Linked DNA regions of Caenorhabditis elegans. The protein of the gene in region 3 purifies or fractionates together with the protein of the main gene of each other region. This does not show direct contact. Each region holds a gene or a part of one and is shown on either strand. Other genes may lie near its edges.

Region 1 (4,747 bases), on a different chromosome or scaffold from region 3:
ATAGTTTGGGTTAAATTTTCCATTTTTTGGCCAAAAATCGTATTTCCAATGGAATTTTCACAGAAAAAGCCCCGAAATCATTTAAATTCCCAAAGTTTTGGCCAAAATTCATAAATTTTCACCAAAAAAAAAGCCCAAAACTCGAATTTTGGGTCAAATTTAGCCGTTTTCAATGGAATTTTCCCACAAAAAACCGCAAAATTAGTAAATTTGTCAGCTTTTCAGTCAAAATTCGACATTTTTCAAGGCATTTTCTCTAACACCGAAATCGGTCAATTTTCCTGTTTTTGGCTCAAAATTCGTCGATTTTCACTCAAAATGTGCCAAAACCTTTAATTTGTCAGCTTTTCAGTCAAAATTCGACTATTTCCAAGGCATTTTCTCCAAAAGTGTTCAAAATTGGGTTTTGGATGAAATTTTCACTCAACAGCACCAAAATTAGGTAAATTTAACAGTTTTTGTAGACAAAAATCATCAATTTTTGAAATTTCCGGTTAAAACTGTCCAAAACTTGAGTTTTGTGTGAAATTTCCCAATTTTTCAGTCAAAATTCGGCAAAATATGCCGATTTCCTGATTTTTGGGTCAAAATTCGTCAATTTTGACTACAAAAACGCCCAAAACACGGGTTTTGTGTGGAATTTACAGAGACAAGTGCAATCAATCTGTCAATTTTCTCGTTTTTCAGCCGAAATTGATCAATTCGAATGGAATTTTCACGGAAAACGTGCTAACATCCTGGTTTTTGGCCAAAATTCCACAATTTTTATGGAATTTTCACTTAAAAAAAAGCAAAAATCAGCGAATTTTCCAGATTTTAGCTCAAAATCAACCGTTTTTCGTCATTTTTTCGATCAAAAAAACCTACCAAATATCCGTCATAATCACGAATATGAATCTGCAAAAGACTCAAATCTCTCAAAATCTGCAAATTGTCCTTTTCCAGCATCAAGGCCCGTTTGTAGGCCTTAATTGCCTCATCGTACTTCTTTTCAGTCTTTTGAATTAGTCCAAATACGTGCCAGCAGACATATGAACGGAGATCCGATACAAGTCCACGACGAACACAATCTTGAGCTTCTTGAAGTTTTCCCATACAATTTAGGATTAAACCCTTCATTGCGAGCGTTTCTGCAAGAAAAATGAGTGAAATTGGAGTAAAAATTGACGAAAATCGGTGAAAATCCAATTTTTTGGATAAAAAATGAAGAAAAATCGGTCCAAAATTGGCAAAAAACGGTTAAAATCGATTTTGTAAGTAAATTTTGGGCAAAAAAACAATTTCCTGAGACTTTTTGTGAAAAATCTGGAAAAATGGTCTAAATTTGGCGAAAATCGATTTAAATTCATTTTTTACGGGAATTTTGTGCCAAAAGCCAATTTTTTGGGGCCAAAAAGAAGAAAAACCGATCCAAAATTGGCAAAAACCGGTTTAAAATTCATTTTTTTCGAATGTTTTCCACTGAAATCCGGTCATTTTCGCTGAGAAATTCGATTTTCCCACAGTATATTTTGATATTTTTAACAGAAAAATCGAATTTCCCATGCAATTTAGGATTAAACCCTTCATTGCGAGCGTTTCTGCAAGAAAAATGGGCGAAATTGGGGGGTAAAAATCACGAAAATTGGTCAAAATTTGGCGAAAATCGGTTAAAAATCAATTTTTATAGTGAATTTTGTGCCAAAAACCAATTTTTAAGTCAAAAAATGAGGAAAAATGGGCAAAAAATCATTTTTTGAATTAATTTTGTGCCGAAAAAATCCAATTTTTCGAGATTTTTTTTTCGAAAAATCTGGAAAAATGGTCCAAATTTGGCGAAAATCGATTTAAATTCATTTTTTTAGGTGAATTTTATGACAAAAACCGATTTTTCGGGTCTAAAATGAAGAAAAATGGGTCAAAACCCGGCGAAAATCGATTAAAACCCAATTTTTAAAGTTAATTTCGTGCGAAAAACCAATTTTTTGAGTCAAAAATGAGGAAAAATGGGCCAAAATTCATTTTTTAATTAATTTTGTGCGGAAAAATCCAATTTTTTTGAGATTTTTTTGTGAAAAATCTGGGGAAAATGGTCCGAATTCCGCGAAAATCGGTTAAAATCGATTTTGTAAGTACATTTTGGGCCAAAAATAGCTCAAAATTAGGAAAAAACGGTCCAAAATCGGCCAAAATAGGCTCAAAATTCATTTTTTTAAGTACATTTCGGGCCAAAAATCCAATTTTTGAGTCAAAAATGTAGAAAAATCGGTTCAAAATTCATTTTTCAAGTAAATTTTGTGCCGAAATCACCATTTTTCGAATGTTTTCCACCGAAATTCAGCCGTTTTCGCTAAGAAATTCGATTTTTAACAGAAACATCGAATTTCCCATGCAATTTAGAATTAATCCCTTCATTGCCAGCGTTTCTTTGAGAAAATTGAGATTTTTATGGGAAAAATGGTCCAAATTCGGCGAAAATCGGTTAAAAACCAGGTTTTTGGACAAATTTCGCGTCAAAATTCGTTATTTTTGCGAAAAATCTGGAAAAACGGTCCAAAATTCATAGAAATTCAAATTTTGAGTCAAAATTATTGAAAAATCGGCTCAAAATCAAATTTTTGGGATATTTTGCACCCGATTTCACAAAAATCTGGCGAAATTCTTAATTTTCGGGGGTTTCTCCTGTAATTTGGCTGGAAAATGAGTTTTTCCGGATAAAATTTGCATAAAATGGCGATTTTACTCGAATTTTTAGCTGAAAAACCGAATTTCCACTCAAAAACCCGTGAAAATCCAGTTTTTCGCATCATTTTTTCAGATTTTCCGGTCCAGCAGTACCTCCATGCTCGGCAAAGCCGGGACTCGTCAAAATCTTCTGCGCAAACTTCAAACCCGCTTTGTACTGCTTCTGCTCGTAGCTTTTCTGCAAAAATTGAGTGATTTTTCGGTTTTTTCAGCAAAATTCGAGTTAAATACCACGATTTTCTTGAAATAACCGAGCTCTTTGGCTGGCAACGGCTGGCTGCTCGATTGTCCTGGTGGTGTCGGCATTTTTACCTGAAAATTTGGATTTTTGAGGTGAAAGTCGGTGAGGAAACGTGAAAAGAGCACGAAAACGAGAAGAAAATCGATTTTTTGAGCCTAAAAACGATTAAATTCCGCGAAAAAATGAATTTTGGCCTAAAATGTAGGGTTTCCGGGGGTTTTAAGGCATGAAAAACTCGATTTTGACAGTTTTAATAGCAGAAAACCACTGAAAAAGCAAAAAAATCAGTAAAAAACGCTGAAAATCTAAGAAAACAAAATTGTCCCGCCGAACAAATCGGTGTTTTCCGCCAAAAAACTGCCAAATCTCCGAAATTCCGTGTGCCCCGTGGCAAATTAAAGGCGCGGAACACGTTTTTCCACGTTTTAACACGAAAAACGTGTATTTTTTGGGAAAAAACGTCGAAAATCCATCGAAAATAGTGTAAAATTGATGAGAAATTCTGGGAAATGAGCAGTGAGTCCGCAAACACCGCCACGCACAAATGCACAGTTTTCGTCCTCTGGCGCGCGCACTCTCCTCGTTTTGCACGCTCTCTCGCTGGGCTTCAAGTGAAATTTCTTGGAAAACCGTCTGAAAATACAGAAAATATCTGAAAAAATCTGAAATTAGCTGAAAAATCTGAAAAATCATCGAAAATAATGCTAAAATGTTATAAAAATTGGGAAAAACCTGGACAAACCCATATTTTCAAACAAACACCATGACGCAAAAATGCACAATGAGCCGAAAATTGAATTTTCAGCTGAAAAAGCCTTGAAAATCCAACAAATTGCAGTTTATTCAATGAAAAAGCACATAAAATATCAATTCGGGGGTCATCAGGTACGGCGGATTTTGCGGCTGAACACACGTTTTTCGTGGCGAAGTGAGAAGGCGGCGTTGTCGATGGGATTTTCCAGATTGTAGGTGCAAAGGCAGACTTGGGCGAGGCCTCTGAAGCTTAATGAGTTGAGAAAAAGTCTAAAAACGAGGGGAAATCTAAAAAACCGTGGAAAATTGACTGAATATCGAGAAAAATAGGCCAGAACTCTGATTTTTTAGCCAAAAATTCGAATTTCCCGCTTTTTTAGGACTTACGTGAAGCGGGGGTTGCGTTGGAAGCAGATTGGGGCACTTCCCGGCATGCAGCTCTGACAGATCTGGAAAAACCCAAAAAAAAATCCAAAGTTTTCGATATTTTCGCTTCGAGACCCGAAATTTGACAAAAAGTCGTAATATTTTGTCTTAAGCTCGTCACACAGGCAAAGCGGGTACGGTCCGTTTACGGATCTTGGACCGGGAACGGACCATTAACGTGCGAACTACGGATATGAAAAGCGGGACGGACCAATTACGGGCAAACTACGGGGAATGTAAAAAATGGCCATTAAGAGGAAAAAATGGATTTTAAGAAAACGAATTTTTTAAAATACCTATGATACCAGTTGGCTAATTCAAGCATTTTTACGTCGTTAAATGCATTATTCAGAGCAAAAACCACATTTACCGACCGAGATGGCTCTTGAGCCGTAGTTGGGCCGTTTCCGGTCCGTAGACGGTCCGTCGACGGCCCGTAGACGGACCGTAAATGAACCGTCCCGGGCACCAAATTTTTGTTTTTGAAAATTTCAGGTTCTAGCACGGAAAAAGTGCTCAAATTAGCCAAAGGAGAGTGTAGGCACTTCAAAAACTCCATTTTCATGAACAATTTTTTCGTATTATCCTCCGTTTTGGTGATCA
Region 2 (3,768 bases), 4.3 Mb from region 3:
AAAATTCGTCGGTTCCGTTTTTCTTCGCGTTCGGCTGAAATATTTTTGCGTGAATATTTTTCCAGAAAAATTGTGACGTCAGCGGGCTCTTAACCATGCAAAACCAGATGAGATGCCTGCGTCTCAGCTCCCGCATTTTTTCGAAGATCAAATCGAAATAAGACATTATGACTCCATGGAGGGGGGGGGGAGTTACCGTACCTGTTTCTGGATATTCATCCGGAATCCGACTCAGCGGAGCCATAAACTTTGGTTCGAGGATTTTGATCAGTTGGTCCATGGATTTTACAGTTTTTGGTTTTGCAGAACCCGTCTCTGATGAGTTGAAGATTATCTGAAAAATTCGGTGATTTCGGCATATTCTTAAATTGCAAATTAAATTTTCCACGAGTTTTCAGTGTAAAAGGTTCTAAAACCTTGCACTAGAGGAGAACTACACTTTTTTTGGTAGAGCTCACTTGCATTTTGTGATTTTTCAAATAAAATTTTTACCTTTGCGGTGAAAGCCAAATCTTCATCAGTTTGGGACAAAGTTGGGTACTTTTCGATCTGAAATTCGAATTTAAAAAAGTGATCCGACATCTCGGCAACTCACATTCAAAACCCCAAAACTTTGACGTCCCCACTCAGGATCACACTTCAATTTTTGGCTGGTATGTCTGAAAAAAACCCCTTTTTATCAGAATATAAAAAAAGGTCCATGAGGCCAAGACAATTCTCCGAAGAAATTTCAAGCCTACTTTTTGATAACCAGAATGAAGTCGGCTCGCATCTTTGATCTATCGACACCTCCGATGAATTCGCAAATACTTCCGTTCTCATGAACGAATATTTGCGGAGATTTCACCTGATGCTTTGCAATGTACAAGGCAATCTGGAAAAACCAAACATTTAAAAATTCGTGACTTGCGCGTGAAATCTGATGCATAATGTGACCATGTACTCACGTAGGGCAAGGTTGTCCCATCACGGTTTGATCTACAAAAAAATGCGGAAATTTTTCGCCCAAAAAAAATGTGACGTCAGCACGTTCTTAACCATGCAAAATCAGTTGAGAACTCTGCGTCTCTTTTCCCGCATTTTTTGTAGATCTACGCAGATCAAGCCGAAAGGAGACACTCTGGCATCACGTATGTACCGCACACTTTCCGATGCACCATGTCTGACAAGATTTCAAATATTACCCCGTCAATTGTCTTTTGCCAGGCGACATCAGTGTCCTTCCCCATCACGACCATCTTAATTGCACCTGAACCGGAAAGTGAACCACTTTGAGAATGACATGGGCTGGAAATTAAACTTTTAAGAAATAGAACTAGAACTTGACAGAAAAGTCTGGAATTTCTCACGAAGAGATCTGAAACATTGGAATTTCCACTCTTCCAACTCACCTTATAGCCAAGAACAGTAAGAAACCAATGGATATGATCATTACTGAACAACGAATCGATTTGATTTCACAATGATTGATTTTTTGGATTAATTATTGCTTTCTTTAATTTCAAATGTTGAATATTTGCCAAATGGCAAACGGTCACGTTTTGTTTTATTTTTCGGAGTTTTATTTTTCAAGTACAAAACAATATCGATTAATTAATTTTTCTAGATTTTAATTAATTATTTTATTTATGATAAAATTCCATGAGTTTCAACGAAATACTTCTTGAACTTTTTCAGAAAAAAACTAAATTTAAAACTCGCGCGCATTTTCTTGCAGGTACACTTTTGCGTACATTACGTATGAGGCATTTCATCTGACGCACAATAGTTTTATTTATTTTTTCTTAGGCATTTTTATGGGAAATTTCGATGTTATATTCGATTTACATCTGATTTTAATTTTAAAAATTGAATTTTTGAAAAATTTCAGAATGATTCGCCGCGAGAATCGTCTTCGCCGCGAGTTTATCTTCCGAAAATCGTTGGAGGAGAAACAGAAAAGTTTGGAGGAAAAACGAGAGAAAATTCGCAATGCTTTGGAGAATAATACGTTAGTTTTTTTGCTTTTATATGTTGAAAAATTCGTAATATACGAATATTTTCAGAAAAATCGATTATAATCTGCGAAAAGACGCAATCGAATTGGCGAAAGGCTCCGATTGGGGAGGACAGGTAATTTTCGCGATTTTTGATGAAGTTTCAATAATTTTTGTTCAGCAATACGAAACAGACAGCGAGTATCGTTGGGCTGGAGCTCAAGATCCAAAAATTGTGATCACGACGTCCCGTGATCCATCAAGTCGGCTGAAAATGTTCGCCAAGGAGATGAAGCTCATCTTTCCAAACGCACAGAGAATCAATCGTGGTCATTATGATGTTAAGCAAGTTGTGCAAGCGTCCAAGGCTCAAGATGTTAGTGGAAAATTGAATATTTGAAATTTTATCAGCTTTTCAGTAATTTTCTAATATGAAATTAATTTTTCAGTCAACGGATCTGATTATCTTCACGGAGACACGTGGAAATCCAGATGGAATGCTTGTTTGTCATCTTCCATTCGGTCCAACTGCATTCTTTTCAATGGCAAATGTCGTAATGCGACACGATATTCCAAATTGTGGAACAATGTCCGAACAGTATCCACATTTGATTTTCGACAATTTAAATTCGAAATTGGGACATCGTTTCACCACAATCCTCAAACACTTGTTCCCGGTGCCAAAACCGGATTCAAAGCGAATCATCACATTTTCCAATTCAGAAGATTACATCAGTTTCAGACATCACGTCTATAAAACTGAAAATGACGGAGAAGTCGAACTGACTGAAGCTGGACCAAGATTTGAGCTCAAACGTAAGAAAATTTTGATAAAAGAGCGGAAATTGAAACAATTATGGGCATTTTCTATTTTATCGAAGCACAATTTTGCGCTGAAATTAAACACTAAGCGAGAAATATGAAATATTCACATTTCAAAGTATTTTGATTTTTTTTTTAATTTCCAAATTTTCAGCCTACCAAATCAAGCTGGGAACTCTCGAGACTCTGGCGGCTGCCGAAGACGAATGGGTGCTCAGATCCTACACAAATACTGCCCGTAAACGTACATTCCTCAGCATCTCCAGAGCTGATGACGACGAATGAAAATATTTTGTTCTCTAAAAATGTTTTGTTGATTTTTATTGTTTTCTCCTTGAAATTGTTTTTGTTTCGTTCATGAAATTAATTTTTATTCGAAAAAAGATTTTTAGAATTTTTGATTCAAAAATTACAGAACATTTAAAAATTGTCGAAATAATAACAACCATTGTTTAGCTCACGGCGGCAGGACATGGGGACGGGCGGCGGGAAAATATTATGAATTCAAAGATCAAAGCCTGTCAAGACAGTTTCAAATTTAAAACAGTTCTGGAATAACGGACACTAATTACTGCATGAATCATCAACCACCACCAGTGAGCCGTGTCGGTTGGGACGATCAAAAGATTATGAGAACAAGAAGAGAATTGGATTCGGTGAAGGCCATTATGAAGGAGAATGTGCAAAAAATCATGGAGAGACAGGGAAAACTTGATGATCTTGTTGAAAGAGCTCAGAGGCTCGAGGAGGCATCGGATGTGTACGTCAAATGCGCCGTCAAGATAAAACGAGAGATGAGCTGGAAGGCCAATTCTCTTCGCTACGGGATCATTGCTGTGTCAAGTGTCTCCGCATTTGCAGGACTTGCCTATTCGTTCCTATAAATCATTTCTCTATCAAAACTATTTATTGGCATTACGCTTTGTGTGTACAATAAATAATGGAATGTAGTGATCATTTAAAGGCACAC
Region 3 (3,622 bases):
TCCAAAGAAATTTTCACAAGAAAATCAGCCTTTGAGAAAAAAAAAACATACCTCCTCATCTTCTTCGTCCATTTCAATTTCTTCCTCGTCTTCCTCATCTTCTTCATCTTCCTCAACAGCAACAGACTTTTTGACCTGCGGAGCGTCATCATCAGATTCTTCCTCCTCCTCATCATCGTCCTCTTCGTCATCGTCAGAATCTTCAGCAGCCGTAGCAATGGCACTCTTAGCAGTTTTCTTTGGTGGTTGTGGCTCCTCATCACTCTCCTCCTCATCTTCTTCGTCTTCACCAGAATCGTCTTCTACTGGTTTTGTTTGTTTTGCAAACGGAGTTCCGGTGGCAAGCTTTTTCTTCGGGACTTCTGGAATATTGAATAATTGCAAATAAATCTAAAATCAGCACTATACCCTCTTCCTCGTCGTCATCTCCATCACTATCATACTGTTTTCTCTTATCGCTAAAACCAACTCGGCTGCCTCCCCCACGAGATTGGAAGTTTCCTCTTCCTCCGCGCGGTGAGAAATCGTTTCCACCGCGTCCACGAGGTGTGAAGCCACCACGACCGCCTCCTCTAGGGGAGAACTTATTGCCACCACGGGACCCTCCAGAGAAATCTCCTCGACCGCGATTAGCTACACCACGATCTCCTCCTCGCCATGGAGAGCCACCACGATCACCTCCACGGAAGTTGCCGCGGTCTCCTCCACGCCATGGAGATCCTCCACGATCTCCACCTCGGAATCCACCACGGTCACCACCTCGGAAGCCTCCACCACGTCCTCTTGGGGAGAATCCACCTTCACGATCACCACGGAATCCTCCTGGTGAGCGACCTCTATCTCCTCCTCGGAATCCGCTTGATGAACGTCCTCTATCGCCTCCACGGAATCCGCCTGGAGAACGTCCTCTATCTCCACCTCGGAATCCACCACCGCCACCACGTGGGGTGAAGCCACTGCCACCACCACGACCACCGCGGAAGCCTCCGCCTCCGCGTCCTCTTGGTGAGTCGAAACCCATTTTGATTGTACCTGAAATAAATAAAATAAAGTTAGGAAGTCCTAATTAGAGTTAAATCAGGAAATAACAGCGACCAAATGTGTTGTAATGATATATTTCGATATTTTATGCATTATAGTAATTTTTAAGCAGAAAATTTCTTCAAAAAACGTAGAAAAGCGATTTATTTCAGTGATAAACATGAAAAAGTACACAAAGAGAATGTTTCTAAATTCGAAATTCATCGATAAGCGGGCGCAGGTCTCGCCACGATCTCTCGAATAAATGCATGCGCCTTTAAACGTTAATTTTCTTGCTGGCGGCAGCCGGCTTGCAACGGCTTTCAACAATTCGACAAATCAATAAAAACTGGATTTTCCGTACATTTCTTTTTGTTTGTTATCAAAACCGTTTGAACTGTCAATTATACACTTTTTAGAATTCGTTTTCATCAATTAGAATGTTTGTTCGTATTTATATTGCGTGATATTCTTTTAAAATTGAACAAAATAGTTTAATATAAATATTTTATTTGCAAAACTCTGTCATTTGCGATACATAGTTCTTTCCTAATTGTTTTAGTAAAAACTTAAGTTTCACGTGCCACCTTATCCACGTTTCTATTTCTACGGTGTATTGCCCCTCGGCGAATTCGAGTTATAACTTTTTTACAAGCTCGTATATTGCAAATCCTCCATTAATCTCTATTTTTTTCTCCTTTTGCATTCGCTTCCGAATTTTTTGTGCCGTTTACTCAACTGCTCTATCTTTGCAGCAGGATGAACATTCGTTGTGCTCGCGTGGACGATTTGATGAGCATGCAAAATGCGAATCTTATGTGCCTTCCAGAGAATTATCAAATGAAATACTACTTCTATCACGCTCTTTCTTGGCCGCAGCTCTCTTATATTGCTGAAGATCACAAGGTATTTTTTATTCTCATGCAAATCTTGACTTGAAACATTTATTGTTGTTCAGGGAAATGTTGTTGGATATGTTCTCGCCAAAATGGAAGAAGACCCAGGAGAGGAGCCACATGGTCATATCACCTCTTTGGCCGTCAAAAGATCTTACAGACGTCTGGGATTGGCTAATAAAATGATGGATCAGACCGCAAGAGCCATGGTCGAAACCTACAACGCTAAATACGTATCGCTTCATGTTCGTGTATCAAACCGAGCCGCATTGAATCTATACAAGAACACACTGAAATTCGAAATTGTGGATACAGAGCCAAAGTAAGTATTAATTTGAATAAATCCTCATTTCTCGGCGCGGATTAGTTCGTCCCTCGATGAACAACTGAAAAAATTCTAATCGACGTTTCCCAATCACCCGTTCGATTTCCAACGTTATACTTTTTACAGAAGTGATGGAATTAAATAATTTTGTATTCTTTTTTGGTTCACCTATTTTTAATTTTTGTTCCAAGTCAAGTTCAAATTGAAAAAGGTTATTGTGATTATCAGTGAAAGGACAAAATGTTTCGAAAAATAATTACGTTTAATAACGTGGCGCTTTTTTAAAACAATAAACAAAAATATGCGAGCGAGGTGATTAAACTTTGGCATCAATCAGAAGAAACATACTTCAATTTGCAAATTATGATAACTTTTAGAACCTTATTAACCCTAATTATTAACAAAAATGACAAATTCCAGATATTACGCGGATGGAGAAGATGCATACGCTATGCGTCGCGATCTCGCAAAATGGGCAGAAGAACGGAACATCGAGCCAGCAGATCGAGAGGCCTATACCACTGCAAAAACCACTGACGATAAAAAGAAAAATCGCAGTTAATTCGTTATCAAAGTTTATTTTTGCCTTTTCCAACTGGTTCATTCTGATACTTTCTCTGTTCTCCCCTTTCAGGAGGATCTCTTTTCTTTCAATTCTCGTTTCCTCCTCTGGTTTTAGATTAGGTAAAAATTTAAGTTTTCCCCTGAATAATCTCTTTGATCCCCCTTTGAAAGCTCATTAATAAATTTAAAGCATTAAAATGGTTTGTAGATGTTATAAGCAGTTGATTTCTGTATTCAAATATCTGTAAATATTTATTTCGACCTTTAAAGTTAATGTTTTAGATGAAAGGTGGCGGTGGAATAGGGGATGGCAAAAAGGACTATCAATCAGCTGTTCATGAAGTAAGTTTTTATTAAAAACTCTGTTATTCCTTTTAATAGTTTTGAGTGATTCAGATGAAATATAGATTTTAAATCTAAATTTTTCAGGGATTAACAACATTCGATCAATTGGGAATTGCACTTGAAGATGTCGGTAAATCAATGGACGCAGAAACAGCTACACCAGGAGGAAGTTTATTTTCCAGAGTTATGTAAGTGATTCGGTTATTCTCGAAAAAAAACTCATTGTTGAAAATGTAGCACTATTTTCTAACATTTCAACAAATAAAATTCTGGCTCACTACCGAGTTCGTATTTTCAACATTGAACAGACACATGGAATTGTTTTCAAAAATCATTCGGTCTCACACATTATGGAGGGAGAAACAGTTTAACCTCAACGCAAATCCGATTTGGTCGAATCGTTTCATCGCCTCTCCCTCTGCTCTCATAAAACAAATAGATTGAGAGTGGTGTTACACGAGTTTTCCATACC

The links.
Region 1: the proteins of daf-31 (region 3) and hpo-29 fractionate together in Caenorhabditis elegans (co-fractionation; one large-scale study listed by BioGRID). This does not show direct contact.
Region 2: the proteins of daf-31 (region 3) and ZK795.3 fractionate together in Caenorhabditis elegans (co-fractionation; one large-scale study listed by BioGRID). This does not show direct contact.

What each region holds. Positions count from the first base shown.
Region 1 is NC_003281.10:234,133-238,879, reverse strand, and holds the start of hpo-29 (N-alpha-acetyltransferase 16, NatA auxiliary subunit), read right to left. Parts: upstream 3,037-4,747; 5' UTR 3,031-3,036; coding exon 2,956-3,030; intron 2,903-2,955; coding exon 2,818-2,902; intron 1,131-2,817; coding exon 868-1,130; intron 1-867. Other genes in the region: hpo-38 (DUF19 domain-containing protein), read right to left, coding at 3,847-3,961, 4,106-4,167.
Region 2 is NC_003282.8:12,557,495-12,561,262, forward strand, and holds ZK795.3 (Brix domain-containing protein ZK795.3), read left to right. Parts: upstream 1-1,870; 5' UTR 1,871-1,871; coding exon 1,872-1,990; intron 1,991-2,045; coding exon 2,046-2,112; intron 2,113-2,157; coding exon 2,158-2,352; intron 2,353-2,425; coding exon 2,426-2,792; intron 2,793-2,952; coding exon 2,953-3,083; 3' UTR 3,084-3,178; downstream 3,179-3,768. Other genes in the region: ZK795.2 (DsbC domain-containing protein), read right to left, coding at 1-34, 202-334, 493-549, 596-659, 741-874, 1,185-1,287, 1,392-1,432; snb-7 (V-SNARE coiled-coil homology domain-containing protein), read left to right, coding at 3,374-3,682.
Region 3 is NC_003282.8:8,288,498-8,292,119, forward strand, and holds daf-31 (N-alpha-acetyltransferase daf-31), read left to right. Parts: upstream 1-1,775; 5' UTR 1,776-1,779; coding exon 1,780-1,926; intron 1,927-1,978; coding exon 1,979-2,238; intron 2,239-2,661; coding exon 2,662-2,803; 3' UTR 2,804-2,999; downstream 3,000-3,622. Other genes in the region: nucl-1 (Nucleolin homolog 1), read right to left, coding at 52-362, 409-1,021; K07H8.2 (SLC41A/MgtE integral membrane domain-containing protein), read left to right, coding at 3,088-3,147, 3,235-3,338. UniProt on the Caenorhabditis elegans protein: Catalytic subunit of the N-terminal acetyltransferase A (NatA) complex which displays alpha (N-terminal) acetyltransferase activity. Plays a role in regulating larval development, metabolism and longevity.